Xenopus tropicalis: one gene and its partners. Each later gene encodes a partner of the first gene's protein in a complex. Links are inferred from orthologs where the notes say so. Each region holds a gene or a part of one and is shown on either strand. Other genes may lie near its edges.

The links.
Region 2: myo7b (region 1) and cdhr5 share a complex: the UniProt entries of both Homo sapiens proteins name them as parts of the IMAC/intermicrovillar adhesion complex. The link is inferred for Xenopus tropicalis from reciprocal best matches to the Homo sapiens genes MYO7B and CDHR5.
Region 3: myo7b (region 1) and cdhr2 share a complex: the UniProt entries of both Homo sapiens proteins name them as parts of the IMAC/intermicrovillar adhesion complex. The link is inferred for Xenopus tropicalis from reciprocal best matches to the Homo sapiens genes MYO7B and CDHR2.

The regions. Positions count from the first base shown.
Region 1 is NC_030681.2:125,544,629-125,550,910, forward strand, and holds the start of myo7b (unconventional myosin-VIIb), read right to left. Parts: upstream 4,270-6,282; 5' UTR 4,210-4,269; intron 1,243-4,209; 5' UTR 1,214-1,242; coding exon 1,196-1,213; intron 1-1,195. UniProt on the Homo sapiens protein: Myosins are actin-based motor molecules with ATPase activity. Their highly divergent tails are presumed to bind to membranous compartments, which would be moved relative to actin filaments.
Region 2 is NC_030680.2:31,975,001-31,980,655, reverse strand, and holds part of cdhr5 (cadherin-related family member 5), read right to left. Parts: intron 4,985-5,655; coding exon 4,887-4,984; intron 3,279-4,886; coding exon 3,072-3,278; intron 1,762-3,071; coding exon 1,645-1,761; intron 1,121-1,644; coding exon 1,054-1,120; intron 1-1,053. UniProt on the Homo sapiens protein: Intermicrovillar adhesion molecule that forms, via its extracellular domain, calcium-dependent heterophilic complexes with CDHR2 on adjacent microvilli. Thereby, controls the packing of microvilli at the apical membrane of epithelial cells.
Region 3 is NC_030679.2:47,448,380-47,454,034, reverse strand, and holds part of cdhr2 (cadherin-related family member 2), read left to right. Parts: intron 1-184; coding exon 185-248; intron 249-523; coding exon 524-598; intron 599-843; coding exon 844-983; intron 984-1,881; coding exon 1,882-1,935; intron 1,936-2,063; coding exon 2,064-2,153; intron 2,154-5,012; coding exon 5,013-5,102; intron 5,103-5,655. UniProt on the Homo sapiens protein: Intermicrovillar adhesion molecule that forms, via its extracellular domain, calcium-dependent heterophilic complexes with CDHR5 on adjacent microvilli. Thereby, controls the packing of microvilli at the apical membrane of epithelial cells.

The DNA of each region.
Region 1 (6,282 bases):
AATTGTCGCGACATTTTCGTAACCGGTACGACTTGTGCGAATTGTCGCGACTTTTTCATAGCCATAACAAATTTTGTGAATTGTCGCGACTTTTTCATTGCCATTATGCCTTTGGAGAATTTTCGCGACTTTTTCATTGCCATTATGCCTTTGGAGAATTGTCGCGACTTTTTCATTGCCATTATGCCTTTGGAGAATTGTCGCGACTTTTTCATTGCCATTACGACTTTCGCGAATTGTTGCAACTTTCGTATTGAGAGCTCGAAAAAGTCGCGACAATTTGCGAAAAAGTCGCAAAGTACCGATCATTACGAAAAAAACAAATTCGGACGCTTTTCGGACATTCGTGGATTAGTAAATGTGCCCCTTAGACAAGCTAAATATCGCTTTTGTCTGTGCAAAAATGAACACCTACTTGAAGCAGGCAGTAATTATAGAAAAATACAGTTAATGAGCTTTTGGCTCAAGTCATATGGACTTTGCAGTGGGATTTATTCAAGTCTGTGTTGGCCCCAGAGTGCTGCAGCCTCCAGTTTGCAGGGAAATGGTCATTTTCATAAAAGTAGTTTTACAAAAGTAATGCCGTGTATGGCTAATATGGCGTGCATTTTTTCGCAGGCGGCGACTATTTGTGCACGATGCGTTCCGTCAAATATCGCACGAAAATAGTCTTCACGACTTAAATAACGCAAGCAGCATCGCGTCTAAATTAACGCAAATATCCTTTTAGTGAACCGTGCGTTAAGACACAAAAAATTAGACGCAATAAAAATTTTAACGCATGCTATAAATAGCGCACGTTTTAACGCACTTTAGTGAATCAACCCTACAGTGTCTTGTAGCCTGTCAGAACTATACACACTGTCAGAAATACACACTGTTCCCCAGTTAGAGCAGAAGAGCCCAGAAGTGGCTTGGATATTGGCTACAATTTTCAAGCCTGAAAAAAACCCTATTGGGTGTCTAAACACAAGATTTGGAAGAAAAAAACTCCTCATTAAAGCAGAAAGGGAAAAGATGGAATGGAGGTTCATTCTTTTACACATGGAGCGTGAACTCTTTATTAACTCTTTATGAACTCTTTATTAACTTAATCTAATAACTTACTGGAGGAGCAGAGGAAATTATTTCAGTCCCCCTCCTACAGTATGATATAAAGATTCAACTAGTAAAGAAAAGTTAGCACCCATCCTACCTGCCGCAGGATAACCATTGCTCATCAGGGTTTTTTCTTCTTGTCACCTTTAAAAAAAAAAAAAATTATTAGAGTATTATGTCTCTCTAGTAGTTGTTTTTAGGAAATCTGATATTGGAAGTGTATACGAGGTTAAGTGGTAATTGCCATAGTATCTTACAATTTAATAATAACATATAATAACAGAAAAACAGCACAAAATTAATCTTTCTTGCACTTTGGCCCCAGTAATTCAGGGTGGAACAGGGTCACTAGACATTACACATAAATCTTGACTGTTCTATGGCAAGTGATCCTGTTTACCACCATATATTCTATTAATTGATGGCTTAAATTTACAGCTCATTTATGTGCACAAGAGGAGAGTGCAAAGTACAATTTCAGGAAAAAATGCACAATTGCATGTGCATGTCAATGTAAATCTATTAAAATATTTTCTGTCATAGCAATGTTGTTTCTGAATGATGTCTTAACTTGATTCATTAGGCGCAGCTTTGCTGTGTCTATAGAGGCGGGCTGCTGTGGGAAGCCTGGAGCCTTTACATCAATAGGCACACTTGTGCACAAATGGACATTCAGCTCTCAGAGGTGAAACGCAAGGAGCAGCAAGTACCTTTTATGAATGGTGCCGATATAGTGCAATGACTGTACCTTATTTCTTGAAGTCACTGCTGCTGTTGCAATCATAAGCCCTAAGATGTTGCCTTAAAATATTTATTATGGATTCTGCAATCTTGCAAGATTCCATTATCTATACACTTGCTTTTCCCCCTCCCTTACAGCTAAGGACAAGGAAGCTGTGTTTTAAATTCTCAGCTTATATCTAATGACCTGTATTTACCTGCAGTTTTCAAACATTTTGTTCATGTGTTATGCTGCCTATTTCTCTAAAACACCACCTTAAAGGGGACGTGTTGTGTAAAAAACAAGAATGTGCCTTAAAAAGCTGCCTTTTATGGTTATTTATTATAGTCCAAAAGTCTCCAAAAACCCTACTAGTCCCAACCATCTGTTCCACTTCCTGCTGCCTCCTTTTCCAGGCTGTGCAGCAGTTAGAACAACACTACAGGTGGCACTTAGCGCTGTAGGATAGCAACCAATAAGCAGCTAGGAAGACCTGATAGGGAACTGAAGCCTAGCTTTGCTTGGGTGACTTCAGGGCTGTGATTGGCTATCCTCCTTCTACTGAGCTTCTGGCAGGAACTACTGGGACATGCCCACCCCTCAATAAAACATGGACAGGGATCGTAACAAATCGATGGGTAGCTTCAATAAAGGGGCCATATTTAAAGATAATGATAATTTGTAGCATTATTATTAGTATTCCTTATTAGCTACAAGATTGGGGACAGGGGTCAGTAATGCCATAAATCACAAATTAGAAGCCCAACATTTTACTATACTCTGTGTTTACTGTCCTTTTGCTTAGTTCAAAATGTGACATAATGTATTTTATAACTGAAACCTTGCCTACTTTTGAGAATGTTGTCTAAATCCCATGAAATACTCTGCACTGAACTGCTAAAAGCTTGTAGCTGCCTAGAAAAATTGTTATGGTTTTTAGGAGGGCAAAATGCCTGGACTACAAAAATCTATAGTTAACTGCTTGGCAAAACTATGGTTCATGTACGACTGCAAGTGCAGTCATTAAAGGTACTTGCATCACATGGTGCTCCTTGCACTTTGATATAATTCAGTCCTTCATGCTTTCATTCCAAACTCCACACTTATGATTTGCATCAGGGAAAAAGTGATAGTGCCCAGAGGTATTACTAAACTGCCCTGAATACTTTCACCCAATAGAGCAAAACAGTGTTTGCCTGCTCGAAGCAGTGAAACACATTCTAACCAACTGACATGTATCAGGTTTGATAAATGCCCTGGCCCAAAGGTTTACTTTGCTTATGTATCTATAATCTTTGTGGGGAAATAAGGGGAGAATAAGCAACATTACTGAAAAAAGACTGTGCAACCCTAAAGCATGGCTTCTATTATTTTTATTATAAAAAGTAAATTTCAAGCAGTGTGCCTTGTTTGGGTCTCCTCAAACTACATAATACTTAGGTACTGCTTAAAATAAACAAATATACAGGTAAATTACTAATCATCAATGAAGACAATGTCTACATTTTTATTTACTAACACTACACTGTACTGTATTCATCGCATTAAAGGGATGATTTATTTAAGTTCACTCTCCCACAGACCAAGATTTTTACATTTTAGCCATTATTTTTGCCAAGGCTTTTTTTTGTCCATGGAAGCCTTGTACGGTGTGAGATATATTTTCACATTCTAGAAATTCACAAAAAAAATTCTACAAATGTTTCTCATAATTGAGATCAGTCAAGAAAAAACAAGATAGATATATACATTTTGATAAATATGCTTAAGGCAATGGCAGGCCCAGATGTGCCCTTGTGTCATGGTATCCATAAGTAATAAGCTAACTTAAAATGAAAACTTATATACATATATATATATATATACATATAAAGTGACAATTACATTTTAATATATTAAACATTGATGTGGTAAAGAAATACCTTCAGATAAGCGTACAAATGACCAAGTGATTTATGTAATTATCCATTAACTAATGCTAGTACTTGGTGTGTTTTCTCCACCGGCACATCCTGATGAGTCTGACACCGCCCCTGCCTTTTCCCACTGCCTTGAAATTCTAGTGCCAGCATGGAAGCTTTGCAGCGAGAAGATGAGCTAGTGACTGTTTCCCAATGAAGTCTATGGATGCCGGGAGGGTCAGTCACTGCCAGATGAAATACACCAATAAAGGAACTGCCCTGTGTGACATAAGACTAACATTCTGATCTTTTATCAGCCATTTGGTACTAATCTGCCATGATCTATAACAGTACAGAAACAAGCTAAAACCAAATGTTTCAAATAGCTCAGTAACGAAATTCAGTCCTATTTTTTATTTTTACTACTTGAAACAAAATTTGAAGATAAAAAGTTCATCCCTATAAACCTTGCTATTAAGAAATGCTTACCTTCTAGGTGTGTTGCTGGATTGAGAATTTGCGGAGCAAGAACTGTTGGGAGGAATGACTTCTCTTTATGACTGGACTTTGGTCACCGTTCTGCAAATAACCTTTTTTTTTTCGCATCTAATTTGCCTAATTATAACTTGAACGAAAAGTAATTCCCTAGAGCTTTTCTAGTTTAAATTATTGCAGCTCTGAAAGTTATAAATCTGCAGGGTAAGATTTTCTAGAAAAATGTGTTTTACACTGCATGCACCATTACACTGGACATGGTATTTGACATATCAGTTTTTATTCTGGACTACCACTGCTACGGTTACCGCTTCTAGCTACTTTGCATACAAAGCACTGAAAGGTGTTTATCTTTTAGCACTGAGCCCAGTCCCTTTATAAAAGCCTTCCCTTCCTCTCAGGTCAGCAGCATTCTCAAGAAACTTCACAGGATTCAGTGTTTTAGAAATACAGGGCATATTTATCAAATATATTTGTCAATCGACATGGTCCACAAGAGCTCAGTATTCATTTCTATATAATTTTAGGGGCATATTTGTCAAATATTAAACTCTATTTTCATCCGCTTCATCAGTTGATAAATATGCCCCTTAAAATCCTATACAAGTGGACAGAAAGCTATAGAGTTTCTTCCTTGCAAAGTGTGAACTCTATTTTCCCCATTATAAAATGTGTCCCTAAATACAAAACAAAATATCTTTTATATTTTTTAACAAAAGTTGATAATTATTATGATTCCAATCAGCATTATGATATTATATGTATATATGTATAACTTTATTTATAAAGCACCACAAGGGTACGCAGCGCTGTAAAATCTTACAAAATACAAAATTACACACAGTGAGGACAAATGTTATAATAAATAAATACAATAAATATATATAAATGCACAGGGAATAAGTACCATGTGGTATGAGACACAGTAGGTAGGAGGTCCCTGCCCCGAAGAGCTTACAGTCTAAGTCTATTATATAATGTTGAATACAATGTATTAAATGTTTGCATCAGTTTCTTTGTAGAAATGTAATTTCACTTGAAACGTAATAGGAGGGCAGAAAAGATGAACCACACCGTGTGTGTTTTATGAGTGTATTATATATTATATCATGGTTCATTAACCAAATCTATATTGCCTTGAGGGTGGGAAGCTTGCAATCAATGATTTATTTATTAACTAGTTGAAGCAATGACCTTTACCCAGTTCATCTGAGTAAAATACGTCTTCAGCACAAGCACAGGAGACTGACGCCTCAGCATGTCTGTTCTATACATGTATCCAGCTAAAGGTGTATGATGTTGTCTGCTTGCAATTTACATGTTGCCGGAATTAACGTACATAATAACTAGGTTGTAAACTTTGAATTACAAACAGGAACAGCACCACAGATATGCATGTTCTAGACAAGCACCAATTTTACAATAATGCTGTAAGGGGTAAAACTTTTATTTCAACAATTGTGTTTAATTCTTTGTCCCTGCTGCATCTGACAGTCTGATCTCCAATCATGGAGAAATAAGGGTGGTCGAAAGTCAAGCTCTTTACTTTCTGCAGCAGGAGCTATTTGGAAACCAAGACACATTGCACCTCACACTGATGTTACTCTTTGCAGCCTGGTTTTTAGCTGGCTCCCACTGCAGAGAGGAGAGAGCAGCCTTAACTGTGCATGAACTATGGCTCCAAAACCTCAGTATATAACTTTTGTTTATAGTAATATGTTATTTCTAAAAGGGTTCTCATTCATTAACTGTTTCAAATATGCTCTTTACACATATTTATTCACTTAGATAACAATTGGTTATTATAAGGGGCCGTAGGCACTTATTAGAATGTGCATTAAAGGGATATTGTCATGATTTTGATGGCATAGCTTTTAATACTATATTACACTGTTTTTCTTGCAAATAATTCATTTTACCTTTTAAATTTATTTTCAAACAAACTAATGTTTATTTTTAGTTTTAATAATGGTGTGTGGGCAGCCATCTCTGGTTATTTTGCATGAAACTGTGCTTTCAGAAACAGTCAGGCATGTTCTTTGAGGCAGCTACTGTATTCGCTATTCA
Region 2 (5,655 bases), on another chromosome or scaffold:
TCCACATTTTTGGATTCGGCCAACCCTTCATAAAGGATTCAGCCGAATACCAAACCAAATCCAAATCCTAATTGATTAAGAACAGTACACGGGGAGCTTTCACATCCAGATTCGCCCCCCATCCAGGCGTGGCTTTAATGCAAGAAAATTGTATAGATAGATGGAGCACACCAGGACTTCTTTTCAGTAAAAAATATTCTTTATTCTTGTATCCACTAAAAACATGTTGATGAACTACTCCTCCAGCTTGACACGTTTCATGGCTTCTCGCCTACGGTTGTAACTTCTGATGAAGTGGGGAGAAGCTATGAAACGCGTCAAGCTGGAGGTGTAGTTCATCAACATGTTTTTAATGGATACAAGAATAAAGAATAGTATTTACTGAAAAGAAGTCCTGGCGGGCTTCATCCATCTATACAATTTTCTTGCACCAAATCCTAATTGGCATATGCTAATTAGATTTTGGAAGGATCATATCTGGGAAAAATTTTCAACTTCCGTGTTTACGTGACAAAAAGTCACATGATTTTTCAGATTCGGTTCGGCCAGAGGCATTGATTTGGCTGAATCCCGAACCGAATCCTGGATTCGGTGCATCCCTACTTTTTTATCAAAGTAAGTTCTGCCTGTGTAAGCCTGCATTCTTCATTGCATGAACCTTACGGCACACATGTACTGTTTGCAGATGTAAATGTCACTGAATATGTGTGAGAGGGAAGCTGGTATTTGTTTTAGGAAGATGGTGCTGGTGAATGAAGGGGATATATACAAATGGTGTGGTTTGGGAGTTGTGCCCACCTTATACACATGATAGGAAAAAGTGGGGTTACCATGTCTAACAGAATTCAAAGAATTCATAATTAACTTTATTAACAAAAATGGTATGAATTTTAAGTTTACAAAATGCATCTTTCTTACAAAGTATCCAGACTATAAATGGCACCTCATATATATGTATAAGTAGTGTATATGTATGCAAGCTTTGTGTAGTGGGTAGAAAGGAGACTTGTTGTTCAGTATTACTTCCCTTTGGAAAGCAAGAAAGAAACATACTTGGGGTGATTTCCACTTCAACATTAGTGATGTCCTCTTCTCTCGTCACGGTGTCAGTTGCCAGTACCTGCGTGAGAAAAAAAGAGTTAATTTATTTTTTGGTTTACCTTGTTGAAATCCAGCGGCCCCAAGTTCCAACTAGAAGACCTGGGCCCAACAGCCATTAGGAAAGTATTTCTAATTGTATTTTGTACCTTGAATTTATGGTAAATGAGCCTTTCTATGGAGAATATGGAACCTACTGTAGTTCCTTTCTTGTGAGCAATGCATAGGTAATGGTAATGTCTCCATTACAGGAGCTGGTACAAGTCGCACAGCGCAGCTTGCACCTTCCAATGGTACAGGTTGGTGTGCTTCAGTTTGTGTGTCCTGGTACCATTGATAAGAGAGGCCTGCAGTGTCTGTGCAGGCTGATTTCATACATAACCATGTTTAAAAAACATCATCTAGTTCTCCAGTTAAATTTTGGCCTTGAACCTAGATTTATATTCCACACTACTACACATCCGAATGTGCCTAAAAGAATTTAGTCTCCACCAGAAAAGAAAATAATGAAACCTTGAACAAATAATAATAACTGATAATACTTACAGTAAATGCTACTTTAGTTGGAGAGTTAAATACAGCATCGTTTTTTATAAATCCATTCCGGGACACTGAGAAATCAGTTGTGCCTTGAATTGTGTATGTGATATATGGATTCATCCGCTGAAATACAAACATTCACATTCAGATCAGTTCTCCTCTTTTGTATGCTTGTTAATTTGACCAGAGCAGTTGCACTTAACTTAAAGGGATACTGTCATGATTTTTATGGTGTATTTTTTATTTATAAATGACACTGTTTACATAGCTCATAATTCACTTTCTTGAACCAACAAATGTATTTTTTTTAGCTGTAATATTGGTGTGTAGGCGCCATCTCAGTGCATTGTGCCTGAGTCTGAGCTTTCAGAGGGAGCCAGCGCTACAGCCAGTGCTTTCAGCTAACCTATTGTTTCTCCTACTCCCATGTAACTGGAGGAGTCCCAAGCCAGACTTGGATTTCTTACTATTGAGTGCTATTCTAAAACCTGCTGGGAACTGCTATCTTGCTCCCTTCCCATTGTTCTGCTGATTGGCTGCTGGGAGGGGGTTATCACTCCAACTTGCAGCTCAGCAGTAAAGTGTGACTGAAGTTTATCAGAGCACAAGTCACATGACTGTGGCACCCTGGGAAATGAAGGATATTGCTAGTCTCATGTGAAATTTCAAAATTAAATATAAAAAATTCTGTTTGTGTTGTTGAATAACAGATTTCAATGCAGGATTCTGCAGGAGAAGCTCTATTAACTGATGGGTTTTGGAAAAAAACATGTTTTCCCATGACATTATCAATTTGAACTGTGCATCAAAATGGACACAACAATATGATGTACGAAATATCACGCAAAAGAGAATTTCAACCTTTGAAGTCATGGTTTTGAGATAAAAAGTGTCCAATAAGGACAAGCCTGCAATATTTGAACATCAAGTGGCCAGTCATGAGAATCTGTTTCCACCTTTTCAAGCTTGTTTAGAGACCCCAGACCAGTGGTCACACATCCAAAGTTGCTATGTTTCCCGTCCAGCCAATCTGTAAGTCCCAGTATTAGGAAGAACTGACTCCCATTACGCATGGCCAGTATTTGCTATTGTTACAATGCCTGTATGTATAAAGTTAGGTCTGGATGGATTTCATCTTCAAATTGTTTTACTCCAAGCAGAGCCTCCTGCAGGCTAGCACTCCACATGGGGCTACCAAATAGCCAATCACAGTCCTTATTTGAAATCCCCAAAGAGCTGTTTTCATGGTTGTGTGGCTCACCAACACTTTTTACTGCTGAGTGTGACTCACGGGTAAAAAAGTTGAGCGTTCCCTGCTCTAAATATAGCTACATAATAACTGTAAGGGAAATATGTAAAAAAAGAAATATTAAAAATGATAAAGCCTGTCTCCCCTGCTGCAAGGAAAACTAGCTGATATACCAGTAACCTACATCTTCAAAATCTTCATCTGCAGCAAACACTTGTAGGAGTCTGTTGGGGCTACTGGAATCGGTAACAGATGTGCCAGTGGCAGACTGAACCTGGATTGTTCCAAAATAATTTTGCTTTTCAAACTTTGGAGGGTGGTGGTTTCTTTCCACAACATCAATTGTCAATGAAGTAGTTGCAAATTTCTGTCCATCATTAACTTGGGCAGCCTGAGTGAGACAGAAGTGGCAAAAGACCAACAAATTACTAAGGAAATGAACATTCCATTGATGAGTTAACCAAGCCCACATACAGGAGAGCTCAGGGTTGGACTGGGCCAGCGGGGCACCGGGAAAAAACACGGTGGGCCCGCTGGCCCAGACCCGATCCCCATGGCGCTCCCCCACCAGAAGATCTCCCTAAGGTAATATTAAAAGCAGGTGAACTCGGAGGAGGGAGTTGTGCGGGCGGCAGGGGCCCCCGGGGTAGGGGTTGTGGGGCCAGGCCAGGGCACCCCTTTAACAGGAGCCCCGTTGGGCCCTGAACCCCCCAGTCCGACCCTGGGAGAGCTACCTTTTACCCTAGTGAGGCTGCAATCTGCTTGTCCAGGCTGTATATTCATTTTGGCAGTGTAATACATAAGAACTTTCTTTTGCTACACAGCATGCACCAATGATAGCCAGCAGGGGACCCCAGAAACTGCTTTTAAGTCTGGATCAAAGTGGCTGGATTAAAGAGGATGTTCATCTTCAGACAACAGTCTGGATTTGAACAGCCCCTGTGGGAAAAAAACATTTTTGCAAATCATCTTTATTATTTTAAATGTTTAGTTTTGAACCTACAGACCATATAAGCTTTGGATCAGCACTGCTAAAATTCTCACTGATCTGCTCTGTGCTCTCTCTGCAGGGGACTTCCCAGACAAGGATTTGGCAGGCAGCAAAATAAAAAAAAAAGTTCACTCTGAACTGGTTCTTGTTCTTCCCTCCCCTTTTTTTCCATATCTTTGATACAATTGGCTAGGAAGTTTTAGCCAATCAGATCAATGAAAAACAACTTCCTGTTAGGGCAGAATGCAAGTGAGTGTGGCCGATCCCCTCCAAAGAGAGAACAGAGAGCAGAGGAGAAAGAGCTTTAGCAGTGCTGATCCTGGTCTGTGGCTTGAAAACTATACATTACAAATATATATTTATATGGTGATTGAATAATACTGCCTTTATATGCTTACAGATTAAGTGACACTTTTACATACTTTTTTTATACTCAGTTGAAGTGGGTTAATTTTGTGCATTGTAGGGACATTGTTTTTATGTATACTTATGTACTGGTTGTCAATTAATTGTAATAGTAAAAGCCTTAATAAGGGATATTTAGTCACACTTTGAAGTTCCAAAGTTGCTAAGTTATCAGTGTATTTGGTGAAGAAGGGTATGAGGCCTTGATTGGCCCATATAGTTATTCTTTGAGTCACACATTTATCAATTCATTTATTTATTCATGTATTCGTGGGCTAATGAATTAGGCTGTTAGTATATTGCTGGAGTGAGAAACTTTGAGATTCTTATTGCCATCTAGAGAGACTTTATTTTTATATCAGTGTTTTATTAAAGCAGAAAAGCAATATATTATCATAAAAAGGGTATGCTCTCTTTTTATAGTCAATAAAATAATAAAGCTGTGGTTTGACATATGCAATGTTCTCCTTGAGAATTTCTCCTTGAGGTTAGGTGGTTTGGTGGCAAGAAGAAATATATTAAGGCCAATAGGTATAAAATATACCCTCTTCCTTTTTGACATAAGCTCAAACTCATGGGCAAGCAGAGAAACTTACTACTTACCATAATCTGCAAAAATATTATCCCCAAAGTATCTGCTGCTTTAGTCATTGTTATATTTCCACTAAATTTATCCACGGCAAATATTCCTGCATCATTCCCTAGGGATACATAAAAAAAATATATAAATATGTTTTCTAAATCAGGGCAACAACAGTCTAACTGCTCTGCTCATTCTTTGTGCTTTTTAATACTTTAAATCTCAGGATTACACAGCTGAAGGTATACGGGCCAAACACAACCTTTCAAGGAAATGATATAGCCCCCCAACCAACCTGAGAATAATATTTTCGTGATGTCATAATTTTGGTTGGATTAAAGCCCTCAAATCTGTGAATATGTCTTTATATACACCACATGGGCAAAAGTATTTGGAAATACCTTCTATTTATTGTAAAGGGATATTTAAGCCACAGCCATCATTGCTGGCACTACATCATATTTTTAACAATGTTGTGCTTTTTACTTTGCGGCAAAAAGTAATGAAGGCCCTTTGTGTTCCTGCCAAACAATACCACGCATGCACATAGTAAGGTCCATACAGAATTGGGTTGCAGAGATGGGAGTGGAGGAACTTGATGGCCCTGCACAGAGCCTGGACATCAGCCCAACTGAACATGCTGCATAAGCTGTGAGATGAACTGGAATATAAACTATGAGCCCGGCCCCCTCACCCAACATCGGTGCACAACCTTACTAATTCTCTTCCCAGTAGAGTAGAGGGAAGCAAAGGGATGAATTAATCAATACCCTTGGTTTGGGAATAAATTGT
Region 3 (5,655 bases), on another chromosome or scaffold:
GGCTTTATTGATTAGTTTTACTTTAAGGATTCATCTGTAGACTACATTTGTCAGTATTCTTTTACTCTTAATAGCATTTTTAGTGTGCTAGGACTTGTATGGTCCATTTTCCCTAAAAAGCGGTACTCATCCAGTTTCAAGTAAAGTAAATTTATATGTTGTATTTCTTTTCTTTTGTTCCCAGGATTCCTTTTGTAGAAAAATGATGTGGATTCAGCTTCTGTTGCCATTAGTATTCATGGTGACAGGTGAGATATCTGCCCACCTCTAACACTAAATATATATTTTATTCCTTAAGTCACTTGCTGGCCATTTCCACTGCTATTAAAATTGCATTTGTTGTGTGTATTTTTTAAGTCATTTTTAGATTCTGCAAAGTACCATATCTAAGCAAATCCTATTTTCATAAGCAGCCATTACTCTCGCACCATTAATTTAGCTTGTGATTGGTCAGCTGTTAGGACAACAACCTAGTAATACACACACAGTGATATTATGCCTAAAACACACATTTTTTTCCCAGTTTCTTCTCAGAATACAGCTCCTGAGTTTGCATCAAATATGACTTCTGCCTTCATACCAGAAGATACTCCTTTGGGTGAGTGTTTAACAAAGCTATATTAATTAACACAATATTAATTTGTTTTTATAAAATTCCCTCTGCTCTGAGATCTGTGAGTGAAGAGGGGGGCAACTGTAATTGTTTTTGTTTCTGTTGCCACTTGCCCCCGTACAGCTTTCATAACCATGCACATATATTAGTATATCCTGTTACACAGTTGGACTCTCAGTGATGTCATTATATAGACTGGTTAATTGCCATGTTGTATTTTTTTCCATTAGGTAAGTGTGTCTTCTGGATTGTGGCAAGAGATGCAGATAATGATCCTTTGACATATAGTATGGAAGGACAAGACTCCTATTATTTTAATGTCAATCTGATGACTGGGGAGGTGCAGTTAGCACTTCCCTTAGATTATGAGGTAGGCTTTCAGTACTTAGTACAACTTCTAAGAAAAATATTATCCCAGATTTTACAATGTACCAGTTCATGGCACTGTACCTTTAGGTTGTCAGCTATTGGCTTTCAGTGAAGCTTCAGTCCTAACTATTGGGAATGTTCTGGGGCTCCAAAGTGATGCACAAAGTGCCTTCACCTGCAATCTCTAGTTAACACAATGTTTGTATATGATTTATAGGGAATATACCTGCATTGCAGGTACTGTCCACATGAAACATTTTATTTACAAATTAATCCAAATATTTATACCTTATTTATCATATGTTCCCTACTATCTTGTGCAAGCTCCCTAATAGAAATATAGATAGATCTCTCTTGAATGAAATACCTTTACAAATAATAAATTTAAACTTGGAAGACCTCCACAATGAAAGTAAGAGTACTTAATTATTATTTGGACTTGATTAAACCTAATAAAATAGGAAGTATATTTCTAAAGGTATGGGAATCTTGGGTCACTGATAATCCTAAACAGGGTAGATGTGTCACATTATTTTATTCATCCTTAATTTTGTGTCGGACGATAAGTTTATTTGCCCCAATTAAAGGAGACCTGTTTTCCAGCCATAAAAAACAGTAAAATAAAAGCCCTTTTCAAATTAAACATGAAACCCAAATTATTTTTTAATTTAAACATCCATACCTGTTATACAGTCATTTAAAAATATCATCTGCCAATCATATATTGCCTGCCCTGCCTCTTTGTCCTGGGCACAGCAATTACTTTCATTTTCATTTCTGCACTTCCTAGATGTCACTACAGTCTTCACATGCCTTTTCTCTGACTGTTATATTCACAAAAGTCGTAAAGTTGTAAGTGCAGGTATAAATGATCTAACATACATATTTTATTTTTTAAGAGCAAAAACAAACTCAACACTATGATCAAGGTGCAAGATGAAATCAATAGGCCAGTAAGTATGTCATACAAGATCCTATTCCTGGTTTCTTTATTTGCATCTGCAAATTTTTTTTTTTGGGCTGTGGAAATTAGTTTTGTCTTTGCAATAAATGTTTTTTACCTTGGCTTTTTCCCCCATAGGTTATCAGACAATTTCCAGTTATAGTAGAGGATCGCAATGATAATGATCCGGTGTTCTTAGGTATTCCTTATGAAGCCAGTATCCGGGAGGTATGTTCACACATAGTGCCAGTCCCATCTGTTTTCTATGAAACTTCTTTTTTTTATTCTGTTTTCTTTTTTCTTTATTAACATAAAGAAAGGGAGAAAAAAAACAATATAGGGGCAGTGTATATCTTTTTCCAACATGCGTTCAATGAATAGGGCTTGTGCTGAACTTATTTTCTGCCCATTAGTTTAATCACAATAAATCCATGTTTTTTTGTTATTTTCTGGAAAAACAAGCAAGAGAAAGACAGGGAGAAAAAGAGGGGGGGGGGGGGTGAGGCTAAGGTAGCAGTTATGGGTGTACAGGATTAATAGTTATGGCGTTAAATTTCTGTGGGCACCCTCTTGCTAGATAAGTCAGTCTGGCTGGGAAGAAAATCATCCACCAATTTTCGCAACTGCAAATAGCACAGTCTAGAGCAGGGGTGTCAAACTCAATCACATAAGGGGGCCAAAATCTAAAACACAGGCTAAGTCGCGGGCCAAATTTTTTATTAATATACTTAGTAAGATACTATGGGGTATATTTATCACAATGTGTAAAAAGTGGAGTAAGACATTACTGGTGATGTTGCTTATGGCAGCCAATCAGATGCTTTGCTACTGTTGAAATCTGATTACTGATTGGTTGCCTTGGGCAACATTACTGGTAATCCTTCACTCCACTTTTTACACAGCATGATAAATATACCCCTTAGTCTTAGTTACTATGTGAGGAAAATGGAAATTGATCAGGCTTGATGGTCAGGGCCACATAAAACAGCCAGGTGGGCCAGATTCGGCCGCGGGCCTTGTGTTTGACATATATGGTCTAGAGTAAGAACGGAGTTACAAGTTTCCAGTCAGTCCTAGCAGACACAGTTCTGGAGAGCGAATATTTGGGAAGGCAAGCTTCTCATTAAGAAACAGTAGCACACCCCACTCACCCTATCCCTCCAATCCTATCCCACTTACCCTATCACCCTTTCTACTCAGTCAACCACAGCCCGCTAGAAATGAGAAATAATCGCGAAAACAAAAGGAAAAAAGAAGCACAAAGTCAATATGTTATCAGTGTTGAAGACTTTATTGTATAAAAGTTAGAAAAGCTGTCTAAATGTTTGACAAATAAGTTGATTGTTCTATTTCTTCAATTATAAAAATCAATAAAAACTTTAAAATTAAAAAAAAGAAAGAAACGGTAACACTTCACCCCAGAATCTCTGTATCACTGGACAGGACCATAAAACATGAAACAGTGCCTACTTCGCTTCTGCACTTGGGACATTGGACACATTTTTATAGATAGATTTTGGCCAGGCGGTAGGGGGTTAAGTATTCTCTATTTAAAAATTTTATCTGAATATATATATCCCTCATCAGACCCCTCTCATCATCAAGCGCAGGGATATCACAGCCATTTGATCTTGGTTTTCTGTAAAGGGGAAGAGTCTGAGGGAGACAGTATCATGTAAAACCAAGAAAGGGTTTTGTCAGGTCCTGTCTGTGGAGACAGGACTTCAGGGTTGTTTGAGCTACCCTAAAAGGCCTTGCAGGAAATTGGATATTGAAGGCATGGCATAGCTGCAGGAATCTATAAAGCATGTTAGAGGGGGATGCACCTCTTGTCACAGTAGGTCATATGTTGGGCCAGCTTCTGTGATTTCTGGAAGGCCCAAACTACTGTAGCCATGGAGGGTGTAGTGGCATAGAAAGAGAAGATTAGACATGGCCTCATATGAACCTAATGTAGCAGCCTCTAGGACCACTGCAGGATTATTAATGTTGGGGTCCTCCAGAGGAAGGTGCCTGCAATACATTGATATTCAGACGTGAAAGGTCTCCTGCCCACAAAAATCCCCTAATTATTTTATCCACTCCACTAAACCATTGCACTCAGGGAGTAATAGGGGAATTGTGTAGGGCGGATAAGAACTTGGGGAGAAAAATAATTTTTGAAAATATGGATTCTGCCAGGGAGGGAGAAAGGCAGGTCTTGCCATATGGAAACAAGCTTGTACCACTGGATTTATGTTTAATTGTTCATATCTATTTAGGTCCTTATGTACACTAATACCAGGGTATTGAATGAGGTCACAACTTGTAGTTGTGCTATGTGGTCAGGAGTTTCTGGGGGTAGGGGGTCTATAGAGAATATAATCGACTTAGAGTGGTTTTGTGAGGCTTAGTTAGGATCAAGTACAAGGTACTGTTTTACTATTACCACAATACAAACCCCTCTTGTCACCATTTTTGTGACTGTTTTGTTAGCAGAAGTCCAATATGTATGGGTATTATCTGTTCACTTGTGATCTAATTATCTACTTCTCAAGGACCATACACTGAGTAGCTTCAGTTTTCTCTGTGTTGCCCTGTTTATCAAAAGACAAAAACCATAGATGTTTTGATTAAACAGGCAAAAATATGTTTAGCACAAGCCCTATTCATTGCAGTTATTCTAAATATTGGAGTATACTGGCCCTTTAATAACAACAATAAAACATGATTTCATCTGTCATTTAAATAAATAGATAGATAGATAGATAGATAGATAGATAGATAGATAGATAGAACATTAACCATAATTATTATATCTAAAGTTTACTTCTATTACTGCATCCTCAATAGCAGCAGATTGTAAGATTTTCATAAGTGTACCAGGACTCCACTTGATGCACCCTAGCACAATTACCTGTAGATTACAATGGATATAGAGACAGATATAGAAACATAGATCAATAAATAGAGAGAGAGAGAGATAAATAGGTAATGGATAGACAGAGAAGCAAACAGATTGAAGAACAGAATTGCTACAAATATACACGCATGATTCTCTCAAATTCATTTGTGATCAGGAATTATTCACAGTATGTTCCTTGACAGGATCAGCCATTGGGCTCCATTGTTTTTAGTGTCAGTGCAGTAGATTTTGATGATGATGGAAGAGTTCCAGTGACATATTCCATTGATGAGGTAAGATAATGAGTAGTAAAACGTTTGACTAAGATGTACTATGTACTATGACCAGGCAATTTATTGTATTTGCATAAACAAACTTAATTTGAAATTACTGGTTCTTAAACTTCAGACAGGTATTACCGTAATATTAACTTTGAGACAGGTATATTCTAGGAATGTGTTCAATTGATCTTAATTATTTATGACCTTTTGTTTTTGGAACCATTTGCTTTTCTATTCTTCCTCTCTAAAACCTGAAATGTAGTATGTAGGCTTAATTTTTTTCTATAATACTTTTATCACTGATCTTTCTATTGAAACCTCTACTATTTTTCTTCCTGTCTGGCATTCTAAACAAGCCACTTTGCTAGGATTAGTGAAACCCTAGTAACCAGATTATATTAAAATGATGATGTGATACAGTGAAGCCCTAGATCAGTTTGGGGGCCATAAAAATGATTTGGAGGGCCACACCCTACCCACGGGCCCCCAGTTGGACTGGGATATCAGTGCTGCAATGGTATTTTATAATGCAAGATTGGTGACACACATCATTCTACACTGCAGA